2 linked regions of the Arabidopsis thaliana genome follow. The protein of the gene in region 1 interacts with the protein of each later gene in a pairwise test. Each region holds a gene or a part of one and is shown on either strand. Other genes may lie near its edges.

Region 1 (4,751 bases):
GTAATAAAATAATACTTACTAGATTAAGACATAGAGTGGATTGTCAATTTGTAATAATATTCGTTGTTGTGTCACTACCCGGAATTACCCGGAATCAAGAAAGTGACTTTTATTGGAGCGCCAATGAATATGATTTCATAACCGCCTTCTTGATACGTTCTATTCATTACGGTCCCAAGTTCACATCTTTGAACTTACGTTAAATCACATCATTACAAAAAGAGTTTTGGTCTCCAATCAAATTAAATCTCCAAAGAGATTTGGTCTCATTGCACATCTTTTCCTTTTTAGAAAATTCCAAATGAAGAATTTGCTTCTGAATATGAGAAAATTCGTATCAATAAATTTTTTCATTAATCTACAAAAGGAAAAAATTGAAATGCATCATATGATGTTTTGCAGAATCAATGACTCTGTAACAAACAGAGACTAAAAGGGTCCTTAAAGGTAAGTTGGCAACTATCTTCTTGTTTAAGAAATGTGTTAATCTTTGTGAGTCAAGGTAATTAGGCTAAACTTGTTTTGTTGATTAGCCTTGACGCTCTCTGCATTCCAAAATTTTGTTGACGAAGCTCTTTTAGAGTCAATAGAAAATAACAATTCAGTAAAACAAAAATTACACATATCTTTAAGATTTAATAAAAAGCCTAATTCGAATATAATGTTGCTTTCTTCTGGACTTAAACACAAATCTATACAATTTAAAAATATTCAAAACATACAATCAATATCCTTGAAAATGGTCTGTTGATCGACTCTTCTGTCGCCGGATTGCTTGAACGCTACAGTGGGAGCGATTCTACAACTCCTCCTCTGGTGTTCTAGCACTAGTTCACCGGCTAACCAATCCAGCTTCTCATAATTGCTTTCTTCATTGATTTTCTTACCACCAAACAGAACAGACTCTGCATTCTTCTGCTTCAGCATCTCCTCTGCTACTCCCACAAGCATATTCACATTGCTTGGACTCGCATCTGTGTCTATGTTTGGTTTGCACGGACCAAAGCTTGATCCATTCGCCTATAAAACCACACAAACAAAAAGTTCTAGTATCAATATCAAGATTCAACTTCACATAACTAGTCTAATAAGAGCCTCACACTCCCATGCACTAATAATAAGCATTTACCTGAATACGGACGTAGTTACTCCTCCTACACTGACCAAACGCCATGGAAACAGCCTGATCCACAGTATCAGCTGCTCCATCAGCAGAAATCCGAACCGCAGGTCGAGCCCAATGCTTAGCCTTCCACTTCATAACCTTATCACAATCATACTTAACATCAACCAACTGTCCCGTACCAAGTGACAACACAAGCAAATCCTCAACACCTCTAACAAAAGGAAACTCTTGCTTATTATGCAACACATGAGTAATCGCTGCAGCCGTTGGATTACTCATTGCTAAACCACCATCAACAGCTACACACCGTGTCTTACCATCAACTGATCTCATCTCCACCGGCTCAAACACTCCTGGCTCAGCCCAAGTAGCTCTACAAACTTCCCACAGCTTAAAATCATAACCGTCCGTTTCCAACGCATCAGCACGTGAGAACAAGAACGGTGCAGAGCTCGTGAGGTCGTAACAAGGAATCAAAACCGGTTTAAGCGTATCCTTAAGCGTAAGCTCTTCGAAAGACTCCTTCATCGCTTTCTCAAGCTTCGAACCTGACCCACCCGAACCACCCGACCCGGTTTTCATAACCCTGTTTAGTATCCCCGGTGGTGATTTGTTGTAAAAGCTTTTACCTTTCATAGCTAAAAACCGCCACGTGTCTTCCGCTTTGAAGATCGGACGGTTACCATCGCTCGACGCAAAAAGCATCGCCGTGAAAATCCCACCGATACCGGAACCGGAAGCTACGTCGAAGTAATCAGCGATTCGAGCATTCGGGTCACCCGATTTCGATTTCAGAGCATGTTCCAGATAAGCCAAAGCTTTTCCAGGTATAATCCCTCTCATTCCACCACTATCGATACTCAAAACACAAACTTTACCTCTCTGGTTCTTAACTGTACCCGGAACAACGCCGTTTAAAGCTTCCACCATCGCCGGTGATGCCGTTTCTTGCTCTGGACTCGGGTCTCTGCTTCTTGATTCCATAAGCTTCAGGTCATCATCATACCCGAAAAGAAACTTGCTTTCGAGAATAGAGAAAATCTCGTAGCTAAGCTTATCAGTCTCGATGCTCGGTTCTTGCATATCCGTCGCCGTCACTCCACCGTCACCGCCGTTACTCTGTTTTACCAAATGCTTAAAACCTCCGATAGAATCAATCGGTTTGTTGTGTACTCTTTGCATCGTAGTTAACATAAAAGAGTATTTAAATCAAATCTTTAAAACACTCTCTAGGCATTATCGCCAAGACAAGACAAAAACCTAATCTTTTTTATAAATCTGTCATAAGAACACGAGAAAAGAAAACAGAGTACGAGAAGTCTTATTCGCAAACGATGCTTTTGTTCTTGTTTCTGTCTTTATTTTCCCTCCTTAAATCACTCGAAATTTTCAAAAAGAAAAAAGGAGAATGATTTCTATTTTGAAATCTGTCTTGAGAAGACAAAAAGAGTGAATTTTTATTATTACTCAGACAGTATCAATAAAGGGAGATGAAGAAGAAGGAGCAAGAACAGAGAAACTGCAAAGGATCTTCTTTTATATCTCACGCGTGACTTTTGTTGCTTAGTAATAAGGAATGAAGCAATAAATATTAATACGGGACCAGCAGTTACATGCATACAAATCTTTTAAGTGTCTGACAATAATTCAAGGAAATTGTTTTATTGAACTGACAAGAATTTGAGAATTTTGAGGTGTGTTTTGCTGAAAAGTCATTCCTTAATCATGTACTTAAGGTGGGATTATGTATGTGGTTGTTACATTTAAATACAAATGAGTAAAAATACAGATTTGTATGGATTATGATTGATTAGAAGAATGTATTTCAGTTCTATTCCATTTCCATATCCACATGACTAAAATTTGAAAATTCATAAAACGAGTTGAGGCAATATTAGTTAAACACTCTCTTTCGGAAAACTTAATTCCCCAATACATTTCTAAACTTTTTCATATAGTAGCTAGTATTTTCAATAAATTGATACAACTTTACATCTGAATTGACATAATTTTAGTATCCTATAAGTTATGTTATATTCAGAGTCGGTATGTAACATTCAGTGACGATTATAGCCTTTAAGGTTGTTGTGTGATTTTCAATGCCGTTTATTATCTTCGGAGTTGGGTTGTGATTTTAGGTTTGGATTTATATTTTTTTTTTTGTTCTGTGTAATATCATTAAAAATGACAAGGTCTAGCTTTATAGAGTAAGAGCCTACGGTTTTGAATCTTTGGTAAAAAAGAGTTGAAGACAAAAGATTTGGAAGTCATATAGTGCGAGTTCATGTTAACCAAAACTTCATTAGCTAGGTTGCGGTATCACTTGCGTTTACGTGTTGCGGTGTTCATTGAAGAAAATGGTAGCTGGGACCGAGACTTGGTTGTGCACGACATTATTCCTCTACTTCGAAATTGATATGGTAGAATGATGAAAAACGAAATTTGGTAGCATGAAAACATATCAGTAAAGTCATTCAGTCCTTCCCAACGTCTTGTGTCTTATTAAGTAACATTTATGAAAGCCAATGAGAAAAAAATAAAATTTGCTGCTCTTTTTCTATATTGTGGCAGTTGGAATTTCTTGTATATAACATCTTGCATTTATTATGTAGGTCTAAATTCGGATGATGAATTGATGATACAATAATAATAATGTTAACTCAAACCATAATACCATATACAATATCAAACCAAAACTCAAATTTGCGGCCATCACCCGAAGTTATCGGAACTTTAATGTTTTAAAATAATATGTTTGGTGGTAATTGACTCTTGTCTCAACAGTAATCAAATGACGAAATGATTCACGTGTATTGATTATAGTTGACTATATAAAGGAATCTATGGAGTCCAAATCAAACAGATGCAAGCGTTTAATCATTTCTTTTTCCTTTTTTTTTTTTTGGCAACAAGCATCAGTAACCAATGAATTGTTATACCATCTTCCAAACAATATACTAATAAACGTTTTAAGTATTATTGTAGGATTGATCATCAGTTAGCCAACAATCTGAAACATAGTTACGAATAATTGGATTTGGTTAATTCGAACAAGCAAGTGACCAGTACTGGAGTAGTAAAGTTGGTGGTATGGGCACCGACGGGGAGAGGTCCACGTCACTGTTGGTCCCCGTAATCTTCGCTTCTTTCTTTTGTCTTACACAAATCTGAATAGTTGATGTTAATAAAGATGAAGAAAGGTTTTTGAATCTTTTGATTTTTTCTTCTTTCTTGTTCCGTTTTTGTCGCTGCGCGTGGAGCCCTTCGACTACATTGATGATCTATTTGCCAAACAAATATGGGATCTTCTTTATTTTAAGCATAATATAAGAGTGTGGTTTACTTTGCCCGTGATTTTGGGTTTGTTACTTAACTTAGTTGAGTAATAAATTTTGTCTATCCGTATTTAACTTGTTCAAAACGGCTATTTCGAGATTTTATATACACGTTAACAAATTGTCTACTTGCATGTTATTTGTCCCGTTTCATTACGTGAGATCATATATCGAATGGGACTCGTGGTATGAGATAAGGAAGGGGTACTCTCACTCGTGGTATATATACCTAATTTTTAAATTTCTTTTGTTTAGTCTCTGCATGTAGTATAACTTTTTTCTTGTTACAT
Region 2 (7,838 bases), 2.2 Mb from region 1:
CGGGCACGGAGGACTGTTCGTGGCTCGGCAGATGACATAGGATGGTTACAGCGTGCCCCGGAGATGCCTCCTGTTGAAGATGGAACTGATAGGTTCAATAAAATTCTGGAAGACATCGGGTATGAATTGGTTGTAGTTGCATGTTTTGTGTGCTTTGTGGCCTTTTCAATATGCTGTTTAACATCCTGTTTTTTACTAAATGGCTGCGTTGATCTGGTTTTTATATCCAGGCATGGTGTACACAGGCTTCCAAATACAGTGGTGTACTTATTGGTTCCAGGTAGCAATTCTTATTCTTTGCTGCCAGCCACTTAAACTACATTACTGTATATTAGGACTCTCAAAATTAGTTGAATTTTTTTTAGGTCTTTTCAGCAATCATGGACCTCTATATTTTGTGGATACGAAAACGAAATTCTCAAAGATGGGTTTGGCGTGTCATATTGCGAAGATTCACAGCGAGGTAATCATAACTAACTCAACTTAGTACAGTTACATTTGGTGTATAGCATACTAATATATGGAGAAATGTTTATATATCAGTCCTCGGTTGAGAAAAATGCGAGAGAGATAAAGGAATACATAGAGGAACTCTGTTGGGGATCTAATAAGCGGGTTCTACTTCTTGGGCATAGCAAAGGAGGCATAGATGCAGCTGCTGCTTTATCACTATACTGGCCTGAACTAAAGGATAAGGTCGCTGGGTTGGTACTGGCGCAGAGTCCATATGGTGGAAGCCCAATAGCTACAGATATCCTCCGTGAAGGACAACTAGGTGATTACGTCAATTTGAGAAAGATGATGGAGATTCTAATCTCCAAAGTCATAAAGGTTTGCAACATTCCTGATCTAACAAAGTCATTTCAGTTGCATTATATCAGCTTCTTGTGATTGCCTGTTAAAATCCTTAGTTAGGTGGAACCGAGAAACTAGGGATAAACCAAAACTTATTTTGTTTCTGGATTCTATTGCTCTGCTGATCTTTCTGATGAATTCCTTGGAACATTGTGAAGGGTGACATTCAAGCATTGGAAGATTTAACATACGAGAGAAGAAAAGAATTCTTGAAGAATCATCCGCTTCCCCGAGAACTCCCCACGGTTTCATTCCGCACAGAAGCTAGCATTAGCCCAGCGGTTCTATCCACTTTATCACACGTAGCACACGCTGAACTTCCTCTGACAAACCAAGCCGCAAAACTGCCAGTGGTAATGCCACTTGGTGCTGCAATGGCTGCTTGCGCTCAGCTACTTCAAGTCAGATACGGTGAAAAGAGTGACGGGCTAGTGACTTGCTGTGACGCAGAGGTTCCTGGTTCTGTGGTTGTTAGACCCAAACGTAAACTAGACCATGCCTGGATGGTGTACTCTTCCTTGAACGAGGTTCCTTTAGAAGCTGATGCTGCTCAAGTTTGTGAAGCGCTCTTAACTTTGCTTGTCCAAGTTGAGCAAGAGAGGCAACAAAAACTCGCAACAAAAATCGATTGATAAACCAAATTGTTTTATTTCTACTTTCGTCTTGAGACTTCAAATTACTGTATTTGTTTCTATCTTTTTGTTTTATTTCTTACTAATTTACTATCAGGTTTGAATCACACGATAACAAAAAAATTATTACAAACGGTAGATTTTATATTTATAAGACTACTTAATTTGCTTCTTTTTTTTTCTTTTATTGTTGATTAATTTTTATTAGAAGATTAGTTATGTTTTTCTCTCTATTCCTTTAACGAACCGTGATCGTGCGGCTCGGATCGTTGGAGATTCTATGGACGGCCGATGCTTATATACTGTAAGTGGAATATGTAATTCCCGAAAGTGCCCTCCAGATGTTCACAAAATTACGCCATCGTACTCGAATTAACTTCAACTCTCTCTTCTCTCTCTCTTTCTTTTCACTCTTGTTTTTGTTTCTGTGAGTGCTGTGTGTGTTCTCGGTTTGTAATATCTAAGTCGCACAAAGATCAGACAAAGTCTGTTTGCGTTTGATAGCATTAGAGTCTGATCGAATTTGGAAGACCTGTGAGATTAGGGTTTCTTTTTGTTTGTTTTTTTTTATTCCGAAGGAGAGCTGCGGAGCAATTGGAATTACCTCGGTTAAAGCAATCACGTAGCTTTGGATCGTTTAGGGTTTTCTCATTGGGTTTGGGGGATTTGTATTCGAGCTTCCTCAAACTCAATCTGATGGTGATGTGAGACAAGGCTTAATCCTGTTAATTGGCGATTCTAGGGTTTTTCAATGGCGAGCACAGGCGAGCCTGACCGTAAAAGGCGTCACTTTAGCTCCATATCACCTTCTGAAGCTGCAGCCGCCGTAAAGAAACAGCCTTTCTTTTGGCCCTCCTCCGAGGACAAGGTTTCTTTCTTCTTCATCTCCCCCTTGTGCATGCCCTTTACATCTATTCTCTTACTTATCCAATCAATCATAGCTTTCCAGCTATTAGAGATTCATATACTGAATGTCTTTTGTCTCGAATTTGGTCTATTTTGGAATTGGGATTCTCTCTCTTAAGGAGTTTGTTTTCGTTTGATACAGCTTGATACTGCAGTTCTTCAGTTCCAAAATCTTAAGCTATCACAAAAGCTAGAGGCTCAGCAGGTTGAGTGTTCTATTCTTGAGGATAAACTCTCTCAGATCAAGGAAAAACAATTACCATACAACTCCAGTTTGAAGACTGTCCATAAGTCTTGGGAAAAGGTAACACTGAATTTGCTTTCGATTCTAATAGAACTTGGATTAGATCTCTTTTTCTAGAGAACTAATTAATGCTTGTATAGCAGCTTACAGCTTCAGTGGAATCATGCTCTGTTCGTGTGAGTGATTCAAGCAGCGGAGCTCATAGGTTTGTAAACAAGGAGGGTATGAACAACTTAAGCCCGCCTTTTCTTCGTTCTGTTAGTGCTAGGATCTAGTTTAGATTTGGTTTTATATGTTACAAATATGACTTTTTGAAAGGTTAACTTTAAATTGCTACACAGATGGGTCTTCTCCAGCCGTGAAAAACGATTTCATCAACCGGCTACTTGAAACTGGTGCTACTGAGAGCTCCTCATCCAATATCTGCTCGAATCAGATGGAAGAAAATGGAGTGAATACGTCAAGCCAGATGACGCAAACCTTGTATAATCTAGTAGCCGCGACAGAGGATTTGAGGTGTCTGAAGGATGAATTATATCCCACAGTTCTCAGAACCAATCTTGGTAAAGGTATGACTTCCACTGCGATCAATTGTCAGCTCTTGTTATGGCCTTTATAACATTTTAGTATTAACCCAGGTCCTATGTGGAATTGCTTTCTTTTCTAGATTTGTGCGGTCAGCTAGCTCTGAGTGAGTTGGAATCAGAAATTAAAAGTTTCAGAGGGGATCTAGATGATGTACTTGTGAAGTTCAAATCACTTTCTAGAGAATTGCAGAGTCATCGCGATGCTGATGCTAAAGTTAGAGTAGACCTCAAACGAATAAGAGGTAGCTACTTAGTCTCGTCTCACTCGACTATATACTGTTAAAATGGATTTTTTAATTGGCATTGTTTATATGGATATAGTATTCATGCATCAAATGTAAATTTGTAATCATATACGTGGCTTGACAAAAAAAGGTCCTATATACATGAAAAGCTACTGAAATCATATCTCGCTTTTGATTGATGAGGATAAGTGTAAGTAGAGGTGATCAAATTGTGAATCTTCCAATTCCACGCCTGTGTATTTATGTCCAGCACTACTCAGTTGTTTAATAGCCATGATTGGATTTAGATCATAGAGATTAAGATTGAAGAGAGAGATACATTAAGACTGGAAGAAAACCTCTATGGTAGAGCCAGCTGTTAAGAAGACATGTAGCTGTGGAAGATATACTCATTAGCGAACTGATGGGTGTACAAAACCCTTCTGAGACATGAACTTCTTAGTTTTCTTTTATACCATTTACCCATATTTATATATTTCGGTAGATTTTAGGAGATAGAGAAGCTGGTAATTCTTTGAGAATGACATACATCCACATAAGTGAAGCATCTTAATTTTGTTGATAAATTACCCGTTTACCTTAAGATGTAAGATTTCAATACTGACAGTAGCCACAGTTAAGAAATTCAAAGAGTTAAAATTTATTTTAGTTTACATGCCTGCTTTTGGATTAATGCTTCTTGACTACCGCATCAACTGATATTATACTTTATTTGGTCTATTCGAAGGGGAGCTAGAGGATGAGGTTGTGGAGCTTCAGCAGTGTAATGGTGACTTGTCAGCATTGAGAGCAGAAAGGGATGCAACAGCTGGGGCGTTTTTCCCAGTGTTGAGTCTTGGAAATAAGCTTGCTACCAGTGATCGGGAGAGGGATAAACAAAGGGATCTGCAAGACATGGAAACAGTTCTGAAAGAGTTAACGGTATCTTTGTTTTTCTGATTTGTTTTCATTGGTAATTCTTTAAGTTTTGGGTTGATAACGGCCTGGTTTCGGTAGGTCCTGGCTTCAGGCAGGCTACAACAGCTAAAAAATCTTCATGAGGAGAGGACAAAGATGCTTGGAAAAATGAGTAATTTACAGGTCAGTGTATTGATCCAATTGGGGTATTTGTATTAGTTTGTCTCTGTATGGGGTTTGATATATGAAAATTTGTGGAATGGTAGCCTCTTCCTATTGCTAAAACTGATGTAAGAGTTTTCTAACAGAACAAGTCAAAGTCTGTGAGGTGCATCTCATCTTCTCAAGCCTGCCTTTCTTTGAAAGACCAGCTAGAAAAATCCAAAGAAGCAGTTTTCCAGTATATGGCTTTACTTGAGAAACTGCAGGTTATATCTGGTTTGCGATTTTCATTTTGTATCTATGTTTATAAAATTTACGTTGTATATTTAGTTGTGAAGCTTTCCTCCATTCGAAAATTTCAGGTTGAAAAAGATAGTATAGTCTGGAAGGAAAGGGAGATAAATATAAAAAATGAACTAGGTGATGTTTCTCGAAAGACGTCTGCTGTTACTGATTCTAGAATGGCTTCTTTGGATTCGGAGATACAGAAACAACTGGATGAAAAAATGCGAATCAAGACTAGGCTGGGAAATATATCAAGAGAGCGAGGTCACAAATTGATTACTTTGACTTCCAATTCTGTATCTCCCACCCACACCTGTTTCACTTTGGAGTCTGATTAAGTTATTCGTATGTCAGGTAGAAAAGAAATCTTTGCAGATATGAAGGCATTAATTTCTTCGTTCCCCGAGGAAATGAGTTCCATGCGTAGTCAATTAAACAATTATAAAGAGACTGCTGGAGGTATTCATTCTCTGCGGGCTGATGTCCAGTCCCTCTCTGGGGTTCTATGTAGGAAGGTGGGAAATAATGTGAACAGTGATTGATGCTTATTGTTACAGTTTATGTTATGCTTACTTAATAAGCTTAATTGGTGAACAGACAAAAGAGTATGAAGCATTGCAATTGAGATCAGCTGATTATGCTTCTCAGTTAGGTGACCTGAATGCTACGGTATGATGCAATGTATCTACCTTTTTCAGTGTACTGCCCATGACTTATATATGTTGACAGTGTTCATATTGGTTATTGTTACTTTGCATTATTTCTTGGAAAAAGTATAGTGAAAAGGCGGATTAGCAATTTAAATCTTGTTAAATGTCTTTGGTTGGCAAAGTGGTAGTTGTTATGTTCTTTACTTTCAATTGATTGGAGTCTGTCATGCAGGTTTGTGATTTGAAGAACAGTCATGAGGAGTTAAAGTTGTTTCTGGACATGTATAAACGTGAGTCCACTGATGCGAGGTAAGCACAACTATATATAACGATATCTAAGATTTCAATTCTTAGAGAAAAGTTTCCTTATCTTCCCCTTCTCACTGTCCAAATATATAGTATAACAACAAGTGCTGTTATTAATCTTGCCTTCTGACTGAACTATCGAATCTTGCTGAAAGTTTGTTGTTAATTTTTCTTGCGTTTCTGAAGAAACTTATGTTCACATTTTCAATTTATCCATGACAGCTTTTAATATCTGATCTATTTTTACAGTTCCATCTGATAAAAACTCTTTTGGATGTGTTAGGATTTGTTTATCTTCTTATCTTGACTGAACACATTATTATAATGCGGTTGGTATATTGCCTTAAGCATCACTGTCGATAATGTGCTATGGCAGGGACATAGCTGAAGCCAAGGAACAGGAGTACAGGGCTTGGGCTCATGTTCAGAGTTTGAAATCATCCCTTGATGAGCAAAATCTGGAGTTGCGCGTTAAGGCAGCAAATGAAGCTGAAGCCGTTTCCCAACAAATGTTGGCTGCTGCGGAAGCAGAGATTGCTGATTTAAGGCAGAAAATGGATGATTGTAAAAGGTAAATAAGTATAAGTAGAAGTCTGCAATTTATAGATGCAATCACGCAGTTCTTCCATAGGAATTCTTTGAGAGTTTTTTGTTTGACAAGGATAAGTCTTTTCTGTTTCAGGGATGTCGCCAAGCATTCTGATATCTTGAAATCTAAACATGAAGAACATGGAACATATCTTTCTGAAATACAGGTTGGCTTATGAAATTTCGTGTTTCTTTGTTCTTAACATATTTTAAAAACCTTGATGTTGCGTATCGATTTACAGTAACTATATTCTTTTAGACAATTGGAAGTGCCTATGAGGACATTGTACCGCAAAACCAACAGCTTTTGCTTCAAGTTACAGAGAGGGATGACTATAACATCAAGGTATCGTGTCCAAACTCTTCTAGTTCCTCTATCTGATCTATCTCTGTGACTTCTCACTTACTCTTATATCTAGTAGTGTTACATTTATTCAGAGATTGATGGATCGTTTTAATGGGCATGGACCAATTTCTGTGGTTATACCTTGTATGTTTTGCTAGAATATCATGAAAAAAAGGATGGTTTGTTACTTGGATCAGACAATGAGATGTAATTTTTTGCTCGCCCATTGTTGTTTCAGCTTTTCTTGGAAGGCATAACTTCTAGGCAGATGCAAGATACTCTGCTTATCGATAAATACATCATGGATAAGGATATACAGCAAGGCAGTGCATATGCCAGTTTCCTATCCAAGAAATCATCAAGAATTGAAGATCAGGTATATCTGTGTGTGCCCGTATGCTCAAATTGTAAGCCTCCTTATTGTGAGACTTTGACTAAGGTGTTTTTCTTTTTCCTTGCAGTTGAGGTTCTGCACAGATCAGTTTCAGAAACTAGCGGAAGATAAATATCAAAAGTCTGTTTCTCTTGAAAATCTGCAAAAGAAACGTGCAGACATCGGGAATGGCTTGGAACAAGCTAGGTCAAGGCTGGAGGAGTCCCATTCTAAAGTTGAGCAAAGTCGGCTGGATTATGGGGCATTAGAACTGGAACTGGAGATTGAAAGGTAAATCAATTGCTCCCTCCATCTTCTCTATCCTAATTAATAGTCATAAACAAGTGTTAGTGATGAAGGTATCGTTCTTTTCTGCGTATATCAGGTTCAATAGGAGAAGGATAGAGGAGGAAATGGAAATAGCCAAAAAGAAAGTTTCTCGTCTTCGGTCTCTCATAGAAGGATCATCGGCCATTCAAAAGCTCCGACAAGAACTCAGTGAATTTAAAGAAATTCTGAAGTGTAAGGCCTGCAACGATCGCCCAAAAGAGGTAAAGAGTCACTGCTCTCCATTATTTAGATCTCAGCAAGACGCTCAAATCATGATCCCTTGAATCTTTTAGTCAACTGCGTGCGTGATTGCTGATTGGTTTTGGTCTTTGGCTTAACAAACTAGGTGGTGATTACGAAGTGCTACCATTTGTTCTGCAACCCATGTGTGCAAAAGCTCACAGGAACTCGACAAAAGAAGTGTCCAACATG

Evidence for each region.
Region 2: the proteins of PLP6 (region 1) and HUB1 interact in binary tests that used the Arabidopsis thaliana proteins (3 or more experiments, as listed by UniProt).

The regions. Positions count from the first base shown.
Region 1 is NC_003071.7:16,374,344-16,379,094, forward strand, and holds PLP6 (PATATIN-like protein 6), read right to left. Parts: upstream 2,826-4,751; 5' UTR 2,321-2,825; coding exon 1,130-2,320; intron 1,021-1,129; coding exon 712-1,020; 3' UTR 538-711; downstream 1-537. UniProt on the Arabidopsis thaliana protein: Possesses non-specific lipolytic acyl hydrolase (LAH) activity. Hydrolyzes phospholipids as well as galactolipids. May play a role in disease resistance.
Region 2 is NC_003071.7:18,542,648-18,550,485, reverse strand, and holds the start of HUB1 (histone mono-ubiquitination 1), read left to right. Parts: upstream 1-1,833; 5' UTR 1,834-2,238; coding exon 2,239-2,355; intron 2,356-2,535; coding exon 2,536-2,697; intron 2,698-2,780; coding exon 2,781-2,859; intron 2,860-2,978; coding exon 2,979-3,206; intron 3,207-3,304; coding exon 3,305-3,466; intron 3,467-4,196; coding exon 4,197-4,390; intron 4,391-4,465; coding exon 4,466-4,549; intron 4,550-4,674; coding exon 4,675-4,794; intron 4,795-4,890; coding exon 4,891-5,077; intron 5,078-5,167; coding exon 5,168-5,328; intron 5,329-5,410; coding exon 5,411-5,482; intron 5,483-5,695; coding exon 5,696-5,772; intron 5,773-6,145; coding exon 6,146-6,340; intron 6,341-6,451; coding exon 6,452-6,524; intron 6,525-6,616; coding exon 6,617-6,703; intron 6,704-6,779; coding exon of another isoform or gene 6,780-6,815; exon of another isoform or gene 6,816-6,939; intron 6,940-6,941; coding exon 6,942-7,079; intron 7,080-7,164; coding exon 7,165-7,367; intron 7,368-7,461; coding exon 7,462-7,627; and 2 more. Other genes in the region: AT2G44970 (alpha/beta-Hydrolases superfamily protein), read left to right, coding at 1-119, 231-280, 366-463, 544-831, 1,014-1,487. UniProt on the Arabidopsis thaliana protein: E3 ubiquitin-protein ligase that monoubiquitinates H2B to form H2BK143ub1. H2BK143ub1 gives a specific tag for epigenetic transcriptional activation and is also prerequisite for H3K4me and maybe H3K79me.